Linked DNA regions of Mus musculus. The protein of the gene in region 1 purifies or fractionates together with the protein of each later gene. This does not show direct contact. Links are inferred from orthologs where the notes say so. Each region holds a gene or a part of one and is shown in the gene's direction. Other genes may lie near its edges. The genes, in order: Cdk5rap2 and Pde4dip.

Region 1 (9,656 bases):
AACAAAATCACTCTTGTTTTGGATAGAATTCACTTCATAAAACGTTGTGATCATTGGGAACTCTAAATCTGTGATGAGATGGCTAGGGAATAACCAGTCTCTGGAAAAAGACTGAGCCGTGGCCTCAGAAGGTCTGCAGTGCATTCTCCTCAGCCTGGACGACTGCACGGCCTTGTGTTTCTTCTGGGTGTTCTGGGCGTTCAGTCCAAAGCTCCTGTACCAGGCAGCAAAGTGCTGCTTAGCTCAGTGTGGGTTATGGTTTGCATGTGAAATGCCTCTCACAGGTTCATGTGTTTGAACACTTGCTCCCTAGTGGAGGTGCTGATTTTAGAAGCTGTGGAGCCTGGTCCTTGTTCATGGCTAGCGAATGGTGGAGGTCTCTGGATGGTGCCTTACTCTCTCAGTAACCACTTGTCACTGAGCTGTATATATCTTTAGGAGTGTGCGTCCAGTGCAATACACATGTGGCTGCTTCTTCTTGAATTCCCCTTTTCCTTGCCTCGCTGAAGCTTCATTCTGAGGTCTCTACCCTCAATGTATCTTTTGTGGGCATACTTTTTGACTTTCTTAGGACTTGAATACTGGTGTTGAGTTAATTTGTTCACTGACTGCCTGGCTCGGAGCCGCATGCCATGGGTAACACCTTACCTTTGGCTCCTTTTCCAAGAACACCTTGGTAAGTGCTTGGGGAGTGAATGGAGGCCATAAGTTGCCCGGGTCCTATTGGCCTTACTCTTGAGGCTTCAGAGATGTCTCTACTCATGCTTTTGACATAGGAGACCCCAATCATAGGAGTAGTTTAACAGAAAGCATCATTTGCAGTGTTTCTGTTTTATAGTTTGGGTAGATCCTCCAGCTCTTAAAGCCTTCAGTAACACAGACAACTCAGGTGGGGTGCTGGGCACATAAGCCGCTTTTGGTACATGCATAATCTTAAGTCCCAGGCCTGCCAGCCTGTGAGTTCAGACGTGTACTTATACACATTATACACATTATACATATACACATTTCTCACAGCGTTCATACAGTTTTAACCAAACAGTGGAGGTGCTTTCTTCAGAACTTCATTTTGGGCTGCTGAGCAGAGGTTAGCAAAGTGACATTGCGTTACTGATGCAGGCCATAAGACTTGCTATATATTGGCCTTGGAGCTAAGAAGTCAAATCCCTGCCTCTGCTAATTCACAACTATTGTAGACGGTGGACTTTTGAGGGTACTTCTTCTTAAGACAGGTTGTGGTGGTGGTGGTGTTTTTGTTTTCCTTTTACTGACAATGGATTTTTTTCTCTCTCACATAATGTATACTGATTATAGTTTCCCCTGGCTCGGCTCCACCACGTTCCCCCTCACCTGCTCACCTGTCACGATCTACTACTCCGTGTTTCTGATTTGAAAGTAAACAGGCTTCTAGTGGATAATAATACAAAAGAATGTGTAATAAGATGAAACAAAAACTATCACATGGGAATTGAACAAGACAAACCAATAGAAGGAAAATAAATATCTCAAGAGAAGCCACAAGAATCAGAGACCACTGATTTGTACCTTCAGTGCAAATCCAATAACAGCACTAAACTGGAAGCCATAATGTATACCGGATGGACCCGGGTCAGACCTATGCAGTCCTGTGACTACTGCATCAGTCTAGGAGTTCATGAGAACTTTAATTACATTGATTTAGACGGCCTTATTTTCATGATATCCTCCATCCCCTTTGCCTCTCAGACTCTTTCCTTATCTTTGTCTGGAGATTTCCATGAACTCTGAGGGGAAGAATTTGATGGAGATATCTCATTTAAGTCTGTGTGTTCTAAGGTTTTTCATTCTCTGCATTGTGTCTAGCTGTCTCTGTATTTGTCTCATTTGCTGCAGGATGGTATTTCTCTGGTGATGGCTAAACAAGGCACTGCTCTGAGTATAGCAGAATGTCATTAGGAGTCATTTTACTGCTGTTTTTTAAAAAGAATAGTAGTATTTGTTTTTACCCTATGTCCCTGGGCTATGTAGTCTCTGTTTCTTGGTCACTCAAGCTGTGCCAGGTATAGATCCCATCTCATGGAGTAATCCTGAAGTCAAATCAGATATTGATTGGTTATTCCCAAAATGTTTGAGTCACGATTGCCCTAGCAATTCTTGCAGACAGAATATCATTGCAGAGTAAAGATTTTGTGGCTGGCTTGGTGTTTACATTTCACTTTCGGTAGTAGGTATAAGACCATCCTTTACCAAAGATAGTAGAACCTAGGAAATGGGAGTGAAGACTGTTCATACCAGCTTGACTTCTCCATGCTCAACAAGATATGCAGGTGTTTTCTTCAGTAATGGGGCCTTGCTGACAGTTTGTGAGAACAACCCGTAGCCTTGGCAACAGCCTGAGTTGTTTGGAGATTCCTATGGGACCTCTTTGACCAACAATTCAATTAAATGTAACCCATCTCAGGACTGAAGGTTTCATTTGGTGACAAGAGATGAACAATTGGGACTCTGTCTCCTCCATTGTTTGGCATTTCACTTAGATCACCTTCATATATGTATATTATCCCGTCCCGCGGGATTCAGTTATTCGTGGGTGCGAGGGGGACCGCAAACCTGGAAGGAAATGGGAGTAAAAGAAAGAAGAGTCGGAGGACCAAGTAGATTGAACCTATCAAGGTCTCGTTTATTAGGCTGAGGTGCCTTCTTTTTAAAGCATACATCTCGGGGAATATGGGAGGGGTCTAGGGAGAATTATACAAAGAACAAAGAAGTGGGCATCTGCTGACATGGGGGCCGAAGTCAGGCGCCAGGCAGTGGGCACTCTGGATCTTATCTCTGGAACATCGATCCTCCTTGACGGCCTTGGGGGTCAGGCTGGGCTCAGGCGTAACTCATGTCCTTGGATGGCATGGGAACTCAGGAAGAGATAGGGAAGAGGGGACTATAATTTAGCTTTTACAGCCTCAGGTGCCAGGAAAGGAATAGGGAGGAAAGGGGGGTGACAACCAGCTCTTAGTACAAGGCCCTTGATTTGTTAAGGAGATTGTGAAGGGCTCACTTTCTCACGGGATGGTCTCTGACAGTATATATTTTAGGAAGCTTCTACTTGTATTGTGTTTCCATAGTACCTTGAGGGTGCGTCTAAAGGGTGACATATAGGAATGCTATGCTTGTTGGTTTGTTAGGAGCAGAGTTTAAAGTGAAGGTGTGAGCATACACAATACCCCTGTCACTCTAAGTGCCAGGTCTCAAAGTGACATTTGTGTAGGAGTTGCCTTTTTCTATGCTTTATGTTTTATTCCTTCACAAAACACATCAAGATTATGTTTAGTTTTTTGAGGGAAGAAAGATTTCTTCTTCATACTATCAAAAGCAAGCCATGGTATGAGGTTTCTATGTTCATGGGGCTATTCAATCTTTTGATGTTGCAGCATGACATTGTGGTCTATAGATGTGGTAGGCTGCATCCTCGGCTTCCTGGGACACATGTAACTTATGGGGCTTAGGTTAGTATATATTTCCTTATCTTGGAGGATGACTTCCTAGAAGAAAACCTTGCTGAGAGATCAGGTGTTCTTTCTGCTTCTTATCCTCTTTGAGCCCAGTAGTTTTCACGTACATTTTCCATCGCCCGTCTTGTGCCGGATACCAGAGAAACAGATGAACAGCATGGTTTCCCCTTGATGACATATTAAGCACTGGAGAACTGCTATATTGGGAATACTTCTATTAAGGCATGTACCTACTGTTGTCCAAAAATCCAATGATGATATTGACATTGTTAACAATGATAAGAGTAGCCTTGAGACTGTGAGGAACAAATTATAGAACCTGTGGCTCCACAGACTGTCTTTCTGAAAGCCATCCTAGATCATCTAGTCCGGCTCATGTTGTTGTCTTTAAAGCCTTTTCCTGAGCCAGCCTTTGCTTTGATGCCTTCCATGATGACATCTTCTTCCATCGTTGACGAATTGGTTCTAAAGAATCAAGGAGCATTCCTGTTCTCTGAATTCATTTACTGCTGAATTTATTATTCCTGTTAGTCTTTTTCTGATATTGTTCAATATAATCTCAACCAACAAATACTGCTGGTTCTTCTCCTGAGTGGTGTTCTTGTTACCTTGCAAGTGAAATTCTGGAGGCTCAGAGTGGCCCATTAATTTGCTCAAGTAAGGTTATTTAAAACAAAGTGGCACAGCCAGTGTTGGAGACCAGGTCTTTTGATTTTAAAGAAGAGATTTTTCAGGCCTAGAAAGATGTCTGAGTGGATAAGAACCCCCACTTACAATGGACCTATATCAAAACCTAACTCCTGAGCTCACAACTGCCTGTAATTCTGGTTCAGCCACTCTCTCCTGACCTGCATGGGCACCTACATGTATGTGATGCATAGACAAGGGGGCACATAATTGTACACAGAAAAGTGTACAGTCCAAAGGTAGGCTCACAGAGAAAGGAAAACTAGGCCTGACTACGGAAGGACAAATATTTATTCTGGACACAGTAAATGCTAAAACATGGAACTGTGAAATAGCTTGATGTGGGGAGAAGGGTCTGATGACTTTGTGGGGACATGCCATGGATGGTGTGTGGGGCTAGGTTGCTTCCAACATGACAAAGAGGGTGGATTGAATGGTAAAATAGTATGCTAGTCAGCTTTCTAGAGCATGACGAAATTTCTGAGACAATCAACTTGAAATAACAGAGAATATTGACTCATGGGTGCAGTCCATGACTTCCTGGACTTGTCACTCTGAGCCTTTGGTGAGGGAATAATATCATGGTGGGGACATTTGATAAAGTATACCTGTTCACCCTCATAATGTTTAGGAACCATTTAGAAACCAGGGTTTGGGGGATAGGGTCTTAAAAGTCCTCTTTAGTGATGCTTTTTTTCTACAAGGCTCCACCTCCTAAACACAGCACAACCTTCCAGTGGTGTTATAAACCAAGCCTTTAATACATGGGCTTTGGGGACATTTAAGATCCAGAATTCAACTGTGGGAAGCTGTAGAGGTAAGAAGTTGATTGCAGCAAAAGGAGACACTGACAAAGATTAGTATTTGATTTTCAGATTCTGAAATCTGTCCACCTGATGACCTTGCCTTATTACCAGCATGCAAAGAGAATCTTGAAGACCTCCTAGGCCCATCCTCCATAGCCACTTACCTGGATTCCAAGAGTCAGCTCTCTGTTAAAGTCAGCGTGAATGGAACTGACCAGTCTGAGAATATCAATATCCCTGATGACACAGAAGACTTAAAACAGAAAATCCACGACTTGCAAACCGAGCTGGAAGGCTACCGGAACATCATTGTCCAGCTACTGAAGCACTCTCAGTGCAGTGAGGCTATTATCACAGTTTTGTGTGGGACAGAAGGGGCCCAAGATGGCTTGAACAAGCCTAAGGGCCATATTGATGAGGAAGAGATGACATTTTCAAGTTTGCACCAAGTACGATATGTGAAGCATATGAAAATCCTCCGTCCACTAACCCCGGAGATGATTGATGGCAAGATGCTAGAGAGCCTCAAGCAGCAGCTGGTGGACCAGGAGCAGGAGCTACAGAAGGAGCAGGACTTGAACTTGGAACTTTTCGGTGAAATCCATGACCTGCAGAACAAGTTCCAAGACCTCTCGCCATCAAGGTACATCCTATTCCTGCTTCATCCTCCTCATTAGGCTTGCAGGTTTCCCAGGTCGTTGCTATGTAGGAGCCCAGCAGCTCTTGAGCGAATGCTACTCCCTGGGTGGGTAGAGTATACCCTAGGGAAGGCTTCACTTGGGCTTCAGGCAGCCACACAGCTTCACTCTATGCATGCGTATGTTAGGAGCTGGGCAACTTCTGAGACTGGCAGGGCAGGAGTTGCCCTCCTCAGGCTGAGGACTCAGTGTAGAAACTCCACAGCCATCAGACGGTGGATTGCAGTGTGTTTACTGAGCTGCCTGCTGTGTTTATTTCTGAACTCTGTTATTGGCTTTTGCCTTGTTGTGGAAATAAAATGGATGTCCTAAGCAGGTTGGGAGGAATATAAATGTTTTTCATATCTTTACCCTTTAAGGTCATCTTAGAGAAATAAGCCTGTGTAGAAAGCAAGAAATTCTTGGGTCATGAAGATAATGCTTTATAGTTATAAATATGTACACTGGCTTCGTGAGATATGGCAAAAAAACGGGATAGTCTGTAAATTTGACCTTCATTCGTTACTAATTTGAGAAAAGCGCTGTTCTGGATTGTCAAGAGATAGAGTGATATTTTATTTTTCAAGGCTACCCAAGCAGCAAGACTGAGGGAAACTTATCAGCCTTCAGGCTCGGACGTGTTTGTTTGATTTTGTTTTGAGATGGGAGTTTCACCACATAGTTGAAGCTGCTCTTAAACTCATATTCTTCCTGCCTCTGCCTCCTGAGTGCTGGATGGCAAGTGTGTACCATTCCACTGGGAAAGAACTCAACTATTTAGTTCCAGACACACTGAGCAGGAGGCATTCTCAACTTGTTTTAGTTAGCAGAGCAACTGAGACTCCTAGAGATTTCTGTGACTTGCCCGTGGTCAGAGCCCCTGCCAGGGTTCCAGCCTATACTGCCCACTCTTAGTGTTCCCCGGAACTACCCCACCCTTGAGATGGCGCTGCTGTGATTTGCCTGTAGTGTATTGGTATTAACAGTGGTCATGGTGAACAGCTTGCTGTGACTGTTTTTCCTCGTCTGAGGAAGCTGCAGGCTTGCTCTTACCGACTCCTGGGCCTGCGTAGAGAAGGGTGGCACCTGGTGGTGAGGGGGTGGTATTGCATGATAACTCTTCACATTCTGTGGGTTTGAAAAGCAAAGCTTTAGCTCTAAATACCTTTGAGAAAGCTTTCCTTCTCTGCAAGAATCCATTTGTTAGAAGCCTGGGAGAACCAGGTGACCTACGATAACTTGATCCCATGACTGATGGGACCTAGTCACTCAGTAAGGTGGTGGCCTGGCGTCCAACTGACTCTTTCCGTTGGAAGCAGGGAGTCCTTTCTTTTTACCCTTGCCGTATACATACTTGTACTTGGTGAGAATTTTCAGTGGGTCCCTGACCTTGGGGCATTTGTTTCTACAATTCAGAATAGTGTCTTTGAAGAGTGTATGGAAACTAATTGTGCTCCTGAGTCCTTGCCAATCTATGCTTTAATTGGGGGCTCTCTAAGGTTACAAATATTGCAGAAGAATCTCTGTTCAAGCATTTGTTGGCTGTTTGAACTCAAAGAAGGGGTGACCTTGTACAGTTTCAATTTTTCTAAAGTATATATGCTTGTACAGCTACGGGCTTTCAGAAATTATGCTCTGTCATTTTTCCAATTAGTGTTGAGGTCACAAAAATTCAATTCGAAAATGACACACACATTTTCCTTCCCTCTTTTATCAGATACGATTCATTGGTTCAGTCCCAAGCGAGGGAGCTCTCCCTTCAGCGACAGCAAATTAAGGATAGCCATGGCATCTGTGTCATTTACCGTCAACACATGAGCACCATGATCAAGGCGTTTGAGGAGCTTCTGCAGGCCAGTGATGTGGACAGTTGCGTGGCCGAGGGCTTCCGGGAGCAGCTGACACAGTGTGCTGGACTGCTAGAGCAACTGGAGAGGCTGTTTCTCCATGGTACGTAGGTAGAGGCCCTCACTGTGACTCTCCGGCTCCTTCGGTGTGGGCACCAGCAGGTTTGATTCGTTGGCTTTGCTGTACACACAAACCTGGCTGTTCTGCCATTAAGCCGAAACAGCCTTCTACTTCACAGTCCTGCGCTTTGCTTCTCTTGTTCCCCCTTGTTTTTCTCAGCCCTCCTATTAGGTAAGTGCTCCTGGACAATCTCTGTCATAAGACAGCAACAGTCCTGTCACTCACCGACATCACTGTCCCCGCTCCTCCATTTTTCTTGGTTTTCATAGTCAGGAAGCTAGTGAGTTAGTGAGTGAGTGAGTCCAGTTTTATGGTATGTAGAGTGGTCCACCAGAGGAAGTACCTTCTCTGTGGTTGTGTTGAGAATGCATGGCCATGCTGGGGTTTTACAACTCATCTCTTCGCATAAGTCTGTTCCCGCTAGATCTGTTTGTATTCTTGATATTGTAGACATTACTTGGTTGGAGCATCACAGTGCTCTTGGAATTGGACAATAACTCAGTGTCATAGTCACTGTTGTGTTGCTTTAAAGAGACACCATGACCAAGGCAGCTCTTGTGAAAAAGGAAGCATTTATTTGGAGTTTGTTTACAATTTCAGAGGTTTTGTCCATTGTCATCATGGTGGGGAAAATGGCAGAGTACAAACAGTAGCTGAGACCTACCTTATTTGTAGGGGTTGGGGAGTACGACACTGGCCTGGCGTAGGCCTTTGAACCTCAAAGTCCTCTCCCAGTGACACACTTCCTCCAACACATCCACACCTCTTAATCCTTATAATGCTCTCAAATAGTACTACTTCCTTTTGGCTAAGTATTCAAATATTTGGTCCTCTGGGGGCCATTCTGATTCAAACCACCATTCTTGGTTTTGTTAGGACTTGGCTTTATGAGTGACATGTGGTTCTCATGACCAAGTACTTTTGGTCAGATGTGTTAATGGTAAATTGAGGCTAAACCCTCAGATCTGTGTGCTTTGCAGGTTAGGAACCTGGCCTTAATCAAAGCAGTAAGTTTCCTAGAGACACAGGGCACTTGGTAATGCCAGATTTAACTGTTCTTTTGCCTCCACTCACAGAGAACCGATAGTTCACCTTGGTCCCTGTATGTACAGTTTAATTCCAGGATAAACACAGGGTAGTTCCCCCATCTGATAGCCATTAGTGGTTTTCCTAGAGACCTGTCATAGACTGGCTTCCTGGCATTTGTTCCCTAAGAGCCCTGAGGATCAGGGTATAGGAGCACTGGCCTATATGCAGCTTGATAAAGGCTGTTCTCTCTGGACCATGCGGTCTAAATAAGCTCACTTTCACTTACTAGTGCAGAAGGAAGTGGGTGTCAGACAGATAAAACTGGATTGACCAAGCCCATAATGCTTTGTTGTGTTTTCTTCAGCTGGTCCTGGCCCTGGCCTTGGCCAGGGAGGTGAGGGGAAAGTTGCCTCTGGCACCAGCTCCTCTCCCTCTTCAGCTGGCTGCTCAATGTCTTCGCTCTCAGCCAGAATCTGACAAACATCCCGCTTGTTGTTTCCTCTGGAGGTAGGAACATTCAGAGCTAGCAGATGGCACGTGTAGAACCTCACTTTCTTCGAGGTACAAAGGCCACAGGAACCTCACTGCAGCTTCCTCCCTATGCAGGGAAGAAAAAGAGGCACAGAGACTGATATTTCTTGGATTCCATGGTAGGAGTCTGGCTCTTGCATTATGATCTGGATTTACAATAAAGTAATTGGCATGTAAAGTAGGTGTATGGCAAAGGTTGTCAAACATTTAAATATAGACCTTAAAAAGTAATACCAAGCATGTTTCCTGTGGAATGATAGCTAGGCAGACACTACCCTGATTGTATCATTTGTGTAGCCGTGCATGGGCAGTCTCCGAGTTTCTGTGCCTGGACCCTTTAGAAATGTGGGTTTTTTTTTTTATATAGCAACAGGACTCTTTGCAACCTTTCCCTTTGCTCAGTGATTGATAACACACATTAAGCTTTAGTGGCTGCAGAACATTTTCTATATAAATGTCCCTTGCCTTAT
Region 2 (9,656 bases), on another chromosome or scaffold:
GCAAATGTCTGATATGCAACCCCTGTGAAAGGGTTATTCATCCCCAAACGGGTTGCAGTCCACAGGTTGAGAGCCATTGCTTTAAGGTTTGATGGCCGTGGAGGGGATCCAGATCACAACTTTTCTTATACAGGAGGTTTTCCAACGTGAACAAAGAGTTCTTCAATCTGGAAAAGTCCTATCCCCTGTCTCCCTGAAGGAGGCACGGAAAAACCAACTGGTTAGCGTTGGGCAAAGGCAAGCACAAGCAAACAGATGCTACCACCTGTGGGTGTGCCCAGTCAGATAGCCCATCACATTCTTAATCCCTAACTATGGGATGTCTCCTACTTCCGGAACTTTCCTGGATTCGATCATGAGGAATAACAGTAGGAACGAGGAATGGAGCCCCTGGGCTTTTCAGACCCTCCTCTGGGTGTCTCCTGCTCAGAAATGCAGAGGGTGAAAGTCAGGCTTGAGGCTTTGAGTCTTCATCTAACCGATATTCTGTGATGAACTGGGGTACTAACCTCCCCCTGCCCCCTCCCCGACCCCGTGTCCACTGCTAGTCTCCATTCTCAGCCATCTCGATTCCCTTACCGCTCTTGGCTACTGATACCCTCTCTCACTGTGTTTCTATCTGCCCAGGTGTTAGCATTGCCCCTCCCGCCTCCACATCCACGCTGCTCAGCAACCAGACTGAAGCTAGCTCTCCCCACTACATCAACCCTGCCCAGCCCCACACTCCGACAAGGAGCACCATAGAGCTGGGACGAATCCTGGAGCCTGGATACCTGGGAAGCAGCGGCCAGTGGGACATGATGAGGCCCCAGAAAGGGAGCGTCTCTGGGGAGCTGTCCTCAGGCTCCTCGATGTACCAGCTTAACTCCAAGCCCACTGGTAAGGCACAGAGCTGGGACCTTCTCTCCTCGGTCAGGAAATACATAGAAAGGATACAACAGTCTCTACCCCTCATACATGCTCTATGCACAAAATCCAGTCACAGCAGATAGAAGAGCATAACTATGGCAAAAAGCACAATGCAGCCCGGTCCCAACAGCAAGAAACTGAATTTCCAAGAGAAAGCCAGAAGTGAGTCAGTTCACTTGTAACCTAGCAGTGCTGCCTCTCCTGGGTCCTTCGGGGTCCTAGAACCATGCAGGGGATTCCTTCTTCCTGCCTGACTAAAAGTGACATGTGAAAGCATCGAGCATCAGTCCTTAGCTACGATTGGTAGGTTGAAGGCATGTGGTTTTTACCTTAGGTCTTTTTTCTAGGTGGGAAAGAATGGATTTTGCTAAAAGCTATTGAGTAGCTTATCAGGAAAAGGAATTGGAAAAAAAAAAAAAAAGGCAGTAAGGCCTTCCTTTTCACCCCCAAAACCACACCCGAGAGGTGGATCCGCCTTTCCAGATGGCAGTTGGGCTCAGTTAGATCTGTCGGTTATTTTCTCAGTGATTTGAAGCCCCCGTTCGCCAAGAATGGAGGCCCGTGGGCTTTCCTTAGCAAGAGGCCACCCTATGGTCATGAAGCTCCTGTGTCACTAAGTGGAGCTGATTGACTGTGTGAAAGGACACTGTGGGCAAAAGGAAGGCGACATTGGGGGACAGGCTGGGTTGTCCACTGGCAGAGCTCACCTCACCCTAGTAACCAGCCTTGTGTCTCCTGCTTCTGCCCTGTCCGGGGATGATGGCTGCAGGCGCTGACCTGTTGGAAGAGCATTTAGGTGAGATCCGGAACCTGCGCCAGCGCCTGGAGGAGTCCATATGTGTCAATGACCGGCTGCGGGAGCAGCTGCAGCACAGGCTCAGCTCCACTGCCCGAGAAAACGGTAGGCAAGGCCACTAGGCAGAGCCTCACGCTTTTCTAATCAGTCCGATACTCTTTACTGGATTGTCACAGTCAGGCGAGGGTTGGAGGGTATGGAGAGCCGTTATTTCTGCTGTGCACTCTGAGCTCAGAGACTGACTTTCCTCAGACAAAGATCTGGCCTCTCGTCCTTAACCTGTTTATATGCACTGTGTCCTTGTGATTGATAACCAGTAGAGGCAGGTCTATGAAGACCCACCCCCGACCCACTTCACTCAGGAGGCCATTAGTCCCTACCTCCCCCATCCCACAAGATGTTGTCATTTGGATGTCACTCTTTGTATATGCAACTGCTCATTCCTCCCCAGCTAGTTAGGAGACGCGTCCTACACTGATATAATGGGTACAAGTGCTGGGTGCACACAAAGACGGCATGGTCTGAAAACACACACACACTGCTCAGCATCCAGCCATTATGCTCAAGTTAATCCCAGGCCTTGAGGGCTGGAGCTTGCTGCTGGGTTGGGACAGCAGATCTTTGAGGGGATGTAACATGGGACGTGTGTGTTGTCCGGGACAGGTTCCACCTCTCACTTCTACAGTCAGGGCCTGGAGTCCATGCCTCAGCTCTACAATGAGAACAGAGCCCTAAGGGAAGAAAACCAAAGCCTGCAGACACGGCTCAGCCATGCTTCCAGAGGTAGGTTGTGTAAACCCAGACTTACAGTCCTCCTAGGACTATCTCTATCCTCGCCAGGGCAATCACCAGTTGGAAAAAGCAAAGAGAAGGTTTAGTTACCAGCCCAATATTTACATTGCTAATCTGTCTTCAAAGGGCTACTCCCAAGGCAGTGGTTCTCAACCTGTGGTTCAAGACCCTTTGAGGAGGGTCAAGTGACCCTTTCATAGGGGTTGCCTAAGACTTTTAGAAAACACAGACGTTTTATGATTCATGACAGAAGCAAGATTACAGTTATGAAGTAAAAACAAAAATAACTCTATGTCTGGGGATCACCACAGCATGAGGAACTGTATTAAAGGGTTTCAGCATTAAGAAGGTTGAGAACCACTGCCATAAGAGATCCTAACCCTCGCCCTCAGGCTCCTAGGTTCTAAGACAGAATGGCTCTAGGAAGGTTATCCCTTTTGAAAGCCTGCCTATATTCAATAACAGTGCCTGACCGGTCAGTTTGGAATCCATCCCCTTCTGTCTGCTCACACCTGATTGGAACCATAAAACCAGAGAGCATGCTTGTGTGTATTTTCTCATACAGCCTCAAATAAGTACAGCTCTGGACAGCTGTCTGGGTCCTGTTCTGCCATTCCTCTGCCTTTCCCTACAGTCCTCTTCAGGCTGCTCTCCGGCGGTCCTCCTATGGTTCCATGTTCTCTAGAACTTTCCCAACCCTACTTAATGGTCATCTATAAGTGGGCATTATTGCCTATGTGGCCTGAGAGGCAAATTACATAGTATTAGTTGACTTGATTAAATCAATGTATAACTAGTAACAAATGATTTTTATTTACAAAAAAAATCTACTTAATGGCCATTAAAAGACTAAGAGCGATATATCAAAGGATTAAGTCCAGAATGAAAGAATCCTTGTGGAGGCAAAAGACGAGAAGAACTATTTCTAAGGAAACTCCTTAGTACTTTTGTACTAAGTCAGTTCAGAAAGACATGAGAGGCAGGGCCCTTGCTGGAGGATGACTAAGACTGCTGGATGAGGGCAAGGCAGAGAAATTAATCTACCAGTGCATGCTGGGACAGAGGAGGGCAGCCTCACAGATAGGAAATAGTAAGAGTTCCAAATGAACACAGTTATACCCAAGGACTGGCCTTATATAAAGAGTCCCTACAGATCATCTTTAAGAAGTTTTGACCAGAGAGGTATCACATGGCCAGAAAACACCAGCTGTCCACATTTTCAAAAGAATTGAAAAAGAATATGTTCTAAAAACCACAAACAAGAAATCAGTGCTGGTCTTTGATAAGACTGGAGGTGTACAGTTGAATAGCTGCCCACGAACACCTAGAAAACGCTGAGCTTCGGGAACTCGCTGTCTCCTCTAAGAGCTAGGGCAGGTGTTCTTAAATGGAGGGTCAGATACCACAAACACCACTGCCACCCAAGCCCCAGTACGTAGGGTCCACTAAGCCAGACTGCTCGGCCACACGGGACCTTCCTTCCCCTGGCCTCACGTGTGCTTGGGTTTGTCTTTCTCATGGGCTTCAGGCCATGACATAAATACCCCTGTGTCCCGCTCATCAGGACACTCCCAGGAAGTGGATCACCTGCGGGAGGCTCTGCTCTCCTCCAGATCCCAGCTTCAGGAGCTGGAGAAGGAGCTGGAGCAGCAGAAGGCTGAGCGGCAGCAGCTCCTGGAAGACTTGCAGGAGAAGCAGGATGAGATCGTGCAGTTCCGAGAGGAGAGGCTGTCGCTCCAGGAAAACAACTCCAGGTAGGCAGGGCCTTGATATGGAATGGCCCGGCTTCTCAGTGCAGAAGGGATATTGACAAATCAGTAGTTTCCTCCTTTGGGAACTTCAGTTCCTTCTTTACTCTTCTGCCTCACTGGTCACTTGGAGCAAAAGGAAGACTCTATTTGAGACACACACACAAAAAGAGAGAATAGTGTTTTTATAGTATGAAGTAGAGTGATAAAATCCTATTACAGAGGTTTCCATCTGTCAGAGACTGGCAGGAGAGCAGTCCCACCCTTCTCACTAGATGCATGACATCACTCTTGCCATAAACTGCAAGTTGTTATCCCAGTGGAAGCCCTGCATCTTTCTGTCAATGTGGAGAGCACTGTGGGGCAGAGAGGGGCTTGTAGTGTGCTTACACTGCTGCCTGCACACAGAGCTAGTGTTCCAACTTCAGGCTAACTAACTTTACCTGCCCCAGAGTCTGCCAAATGAATGTGATGGCCAGGCCATCCTACCAGGCCAACTGAGGCAAAGGTTGGCTCGAGGCTCATTTCTCCCACTTGGCTCAGTAAACCCTTGCCTCTCCTTGGCAGGCTGCAGCACAAGCTGGCCCTCCTGCAACAACAGTGCGAAGAGAAACAGCAGCTCTCCCTGTCCCTGCAGTCAGAGCTCCAGATCTACGAGTCCCTCTGTGAAAATCCCAAGAAGGCCTTGAAAGGTATGAGCCCCCATTCTCACCAAAGCCCAAGGGTTGACATGAGCAGATCAAGCCTGGGTACCCTTAAGGACAGACTGAAAGATCACTTCACCCACTTAATAAAAAAAAGCAACTTAATCAGGAGCAAGATTATAGCATGGTTTATATAAAGAAATACCCTAGGGCTGTCACCATCTGAAAGGATCCTTACCTGTGCTGAAGGACAGACCATGACAGCCCATACCATCAGCATCTATCCCGCCTCCCTTCCCCAAGTGGAGAAACCGACTCAAAACCAAAAGAAAGGAGAGGTAAGAAGTCAGGGCAGTGGGAAGGGAGGCTGCTGCCACATAGAAAGCCTAAAATTCAAGACCAGAGTTTACTTTCCAGGAAGACGGCTCCAGAGTTTTAAGATGCTGAGTCTATGGAACATACTAGAGTCAGGACTTAGGAGACCTCCAGTCTGGGAAGAATTTTGGATAAATGTAGCAGTGTTTTTAGATCAAGAGACAAGGTCCTACTGTGGAGATAAAGGACAGCAATAGCCATGCTAATTCAGAAGGGGGATAGCAAATAAGGCCCCAGCCCTGGGCAGAGGACCACAGGCCCTAGGGAAGAGTGCATCACCTGGTTATCCACCATCAAATGCTCAGCCCAGAAAACACAGGAGTGACATTATAGGGACTGAGCAGGTGTGTGTGTGTGTGTGTGTGTGTGTGTGTGTGTGAAACAATTAGGCCATGAGCTGGAAGGGGGTGGTTATATGGTTGAAAGGGAAGGGTGAAATGATATAATTTCAAAAAAATTTAAAATTGTGATAAGAGATATGGTACAACTGGAAGATAAGGGCAATGAATGCTGGGAATATTTTTTTCAAAAAACAGTCAAAAGTTAGTGAGAACTTGGAATGAGAGGAAGAGAAAACACACTAGAACCTTCATCCATGAAGCTGCTTCATCATGACCACCCTTCCCCTGCACCACACACACACACACACACACACACACACACACACACACACACACACACACTGGGTTTGTGTATCCTTTTCATGCTGTGTTCTGTTAGTGCATGGGCCTTCCTGAGTTCATTTCAAACCAATTACTACTAATTCTTCATTTGAATTCCAAAATCCAGCAAGGTAGCTAAAGCTGCAGGCTTTTCCTGTACTCATTTGATGACAAAGCATTCCTGAAGAGGTGGGAGGACAGCCAGTCTCTGTCTGCTTAGACTGTCCACGTAGCCGGTGACAAAAATAATTATGTGTTGGGCTAAGGCCTGAGGGCTGAGGGCAGCTGCGCCCTGCAGGTAGTTGGAGGTATAGATAAAGTCTTGGTAAAATCCAAAACTAATTCTGCCCTTCAAAATATAAGTGGCTCTCAGGTTGGACTGTTGATTAGATCTTTTTATCCTTCCATATCAAATGCGTGTGGTAAGTGGTGAAGAGAAATTGAAACTTCACTTAGGAATGTTGAGCCCAGGTCTAAGACCTGACTGACTTCCCGTGTTTTGTCCCCAGAAGCCCCACGTGTTCGGATTATCCTCCCTGCATATGGAATCCGTCAGTTGTCCTCCCTCGACCTTCACTCCTTTTTCGTTCAGTGCTGACCTGCTTTCTAGCCTGCAGTACAAAGTTTAACAGGGAGATGACGCAGTAGGCATATTCTCACCTGCCAGTCCAAACGCCTCATGGGCACACATGACTAATCTGACCCTCAGAGAAATCCCAGGCTAGTTATATGCAACCTTGCTGTGCTCCCAGGGCTGAATGAGAAGGTTGTATCCCACAGACGTGTGGCCAAGCCCCTGAGACTCCAGTGGGACCCTTGGCAGAAAGGAATGTCACAGAGCAATATCTGACTATTACATGGAAATGCATACTGGTGCCATTAGGTGTCCTCCCTTCTACTTTCAGCTTTTAGCCTAGATTCCTGTCACCAAGTCCCGGGTGAGTTAAGCTGCCTGGTGGCAGAGATTCGAGCTCTGAGAGGACAGTTGGAGCAGAGCATTGAAGTGAACAACCGTCTTCGGCTACAGCTGGAACAGCAGATGGATCGTGGTGCTGGCAAAGCCAGTCTCGGCCCCATCGCTGTTGGCCAGAGCTTCCCAGACAAGGCAGAGCCAGCAAACCTGCACCAAGGTAGGGAAGAAGAGGAGAGCCAGAGCCCTCTGCTCTGGGATGTCTGTGGGACGGGACAGTCTTGCTGAACCCATCAGTGAGGGTCAGACAGAATCTGGGGATGTTCTGGGGCCTCCCGAGTGACAGCCTGGCAGTTAAGATCAGGCCTGTCTCCAGATTCTGAGTTTGCTTCTCACAAGCCAGCATGCAGCATCCCTGGACTTGAAGCTCAGGGCACAGAGGTAATTACATCTGAAACTTACTTTGTCTTAAACGCTCAAGTGTCTTACTCTTAGTTTACTCCACTTGAAAATGGGGCTTATAAAAAAAAATATAGCCCGTATGGTTTTCTATAGTATTAAATAAAATAATTGTCAAAGGCTTGAAACAATAAGGATTGATTCCTCACATTTATGTAGTGCTTTGGAATTTACCAGTTTCCTCATATATACAAATTTTTTGAAATAGGGCACTTTCCCCTCTTCTGTGTTTCTCATGAGAAAATTGAATCCCAAGACAGTTAGTAGGCAAGCAAGGGTCACTGGGTCTAAGAATCAGGACCAGGACCAGGTGCCTGAGCTTTGCTGTAGTTTCTAACATCCAGGGTGATGGCCAAACTGCTGAACTGCACCCTTTGCGAACCCATTCATTCCACGGTAAACTATTTGTTTTCTCAGTGCCGTGTCAAGTGTTCTTCTACATGTTAACATCTATATTATGTACATCTGTGCACATTTGCATTTCACTTCCAGTCATGATGGTACTAGACCCTACATCCAAAATTATATCCAAAATCGGTCTTATAAAATACCTACCGATTTTTTCAACTAGAAATGACATTCTCATGAAACATTCACATCAATAGAAGAGCGCACACTAGGTGCCCTGCCGCCTCCCTGTGCTGTGGCCTGTGAGTGCTGGTTCCGAGGTTGATCTTGGGCTAGGCATGCACTGTGTGGCTCAGTGTGCAGCGTTCTGGCAGACCTGACACAGTGGCTGTTTCATTCCCTAGGTTCCGCTGCTTCCCCTCCAGTGCGGGACGTTGGCTTGAATTCCCCAGCCATGGTCCTCCCCAACTCTTCTTGCTCCGCTCCTGGCTCAGACCATGCCATTGTCACCAGGACAAACAACGGTAAATAAAGCGGTGAAAGGACTCAGGTGGTGATGGGGAATTATTGACGCAAACAACCTTCGGTTGGCTCTCTGAACCTGCCGTACCTGTGCCTAGAGATCTTTCTCAGTCTCGTGCTATGCACAGTCCTCTGCCTTGGTTGCTCTGTCATTGCTCTGCCCTTGAGTACGGCTCCTGTATTCATCATTCTTTACCTAGAAACTTACACATTAATAGTATTTACCCTGAATATTTCACCTGTTGAAAGATGTCACAATATCTTTTCTTTTTGCTGTGACCAAGTTTCCTGAGAAAGCAAAGCAGGTGAGAAAGGTGTGCTTCTGGCTCACCCCTGCAGGTTACACTCCACCAGAGCAAGTGTGTCACAGGAGCTTAAGGGAGCTTCTCCCATAGCATCTGACATCAGAATCAGAGAGCCAGGAACGCATGTATGCTAGTGCTTAGAGCCCCTGCCAAACTCTGTCAGGCTCAGGATAGCCTGTCTAGAGAACACTCCTGACCACAGTTAAGATGTGTCTTCCCAATAAGTTAATGCCATCAAAATGAAATTCTGTCTGGTGACACTACCACAACCCAGTAACGATGTGTCTATCAAAGTGATATAAGAATGATTATACAGAACACGGAATGCTCTGTGGACTCTGCCATCCTATAGTTTTGAAGGCTGACTCGCTCCTTGCCTCTTTCATTATCCCCTTGGAGTTCGAACTGAGGTCGTTATCATATGTAACAATGGATCCTACTTTTGCTTCTTTGTCAGAGCTAAGTTCAGATGATTCTGCAGCAATGAAGAACCCTCCCAAGCTGGAGGTCGATGCTACCGATGGCCCATTTGCCAACAAACACGGAAGACACGTCATCGGCCATGTTGATGACTACGATGCTCTGCAACAGCAGATTGGGGAAGGCAAGCTGCTGATTCAAAAGATACTGTCTCTCATGAGGTCAGCACGCAGCATCCCTGGGCAAGAAGCTCAGGACACAGAGGTAATTACCTGAACCTCTTAGTTACGCTCGTACTCTGGCTGCACCTTCTTTGCGAAGTCCTTACTTCTAGGCTTCCCATCTCCCAGCAGCCGGGAAGTGGCTTGTGTTTATCCCACCCAGGCCCTTCTCTGTCTCCTGTTTTCACTCTGCTACAGAACAGGCTGACTTGATATTTTGACCAAGAACTTCAGAAAACCCTGCACTTCATGATAAGGATGCTGGCATACAGCCCCAGCTAGGTAGACTAAAGTCAATCGTGCGGACAGGCATCCATATGAACTTGCATATGTGGAAGGGAGCAAACCTGATAACCCAGGTTGCCCTGTTCAGACTGAGCAGAGGAGGGGAGAAAGCCATCAAAACTCTCCAGGGAGCTTAGTAGTTGAGAGGGAGTAGGCACCAATGACAAAGTTGTTTGAGAAGCTGGACACTCATGGGTCCTTGCAAAGGATAGCCTCCTCTACAAGGACCCACTACTAAAGAACAAGATAGCGTTCCCTGT

What was found.
Region 2: the proteins of Cdk5rap2 (region 1) and Pde4dip purify together in Homo sapiens (affinity purification with mass spectrometry; 3 studies listed by BioGRID and IntAct, counting the BioPlex papers as one, with this or other methods). This does not show direct contact. The link is inferred for Mus musculus from reciprocal best matches to the Homo sapiens genes CDK5RAP2 and PDE4DIP.

What each region holds. Positions count from the first base shown.
Region 1 is NC_000070.6:70,262,443-70,272,098, reverse strand, and holds part of Cdk5rap2 (CDK5 regulatory subunit-associated protein 2), read left to right. Parts: intron 1-5,050; coding exon 5,051-5,624; intron 5,625-7,375; coding exon 7,376-7,608; intron 7,609-9,656. UniProt on the Homo sapiens protein: Potential regulator of CDK5 activity via its interaction with CDK5R1. Negative regulator of centriole disengagement (licensing) which maintains centriole engagement and cohesion. Involved in regulation of mitotic spindle orientation.
Region 2 is NC_000069.6:97,694,390-97,704,045, reverse strand, and holds part of Pde4dip (myomegalin), read left to right. Parts: intron 1-627; coding exon 628-879; intron 880-1,678; coding exon 1,679-1,810; intron 1,811-2,368; coding exon 2,369-2,488; intron 2,489-4,061; coding exon 4,062-4,251; intron 4,252-4,812; coding exon 4,813-4,937; intron 4,938-6,831; coding exon 6,832-7,056; intron 7,057-8,047; coding exon 8,048-8,167; intron 8,168-8,927; coding exon 8,928-9,154; intron 9,155-9,656. UniProt on the Homo sapiens protein: Functions as an anchor sequestering components of the cAMP-dependent pathway to Golgi and/or centrosomes.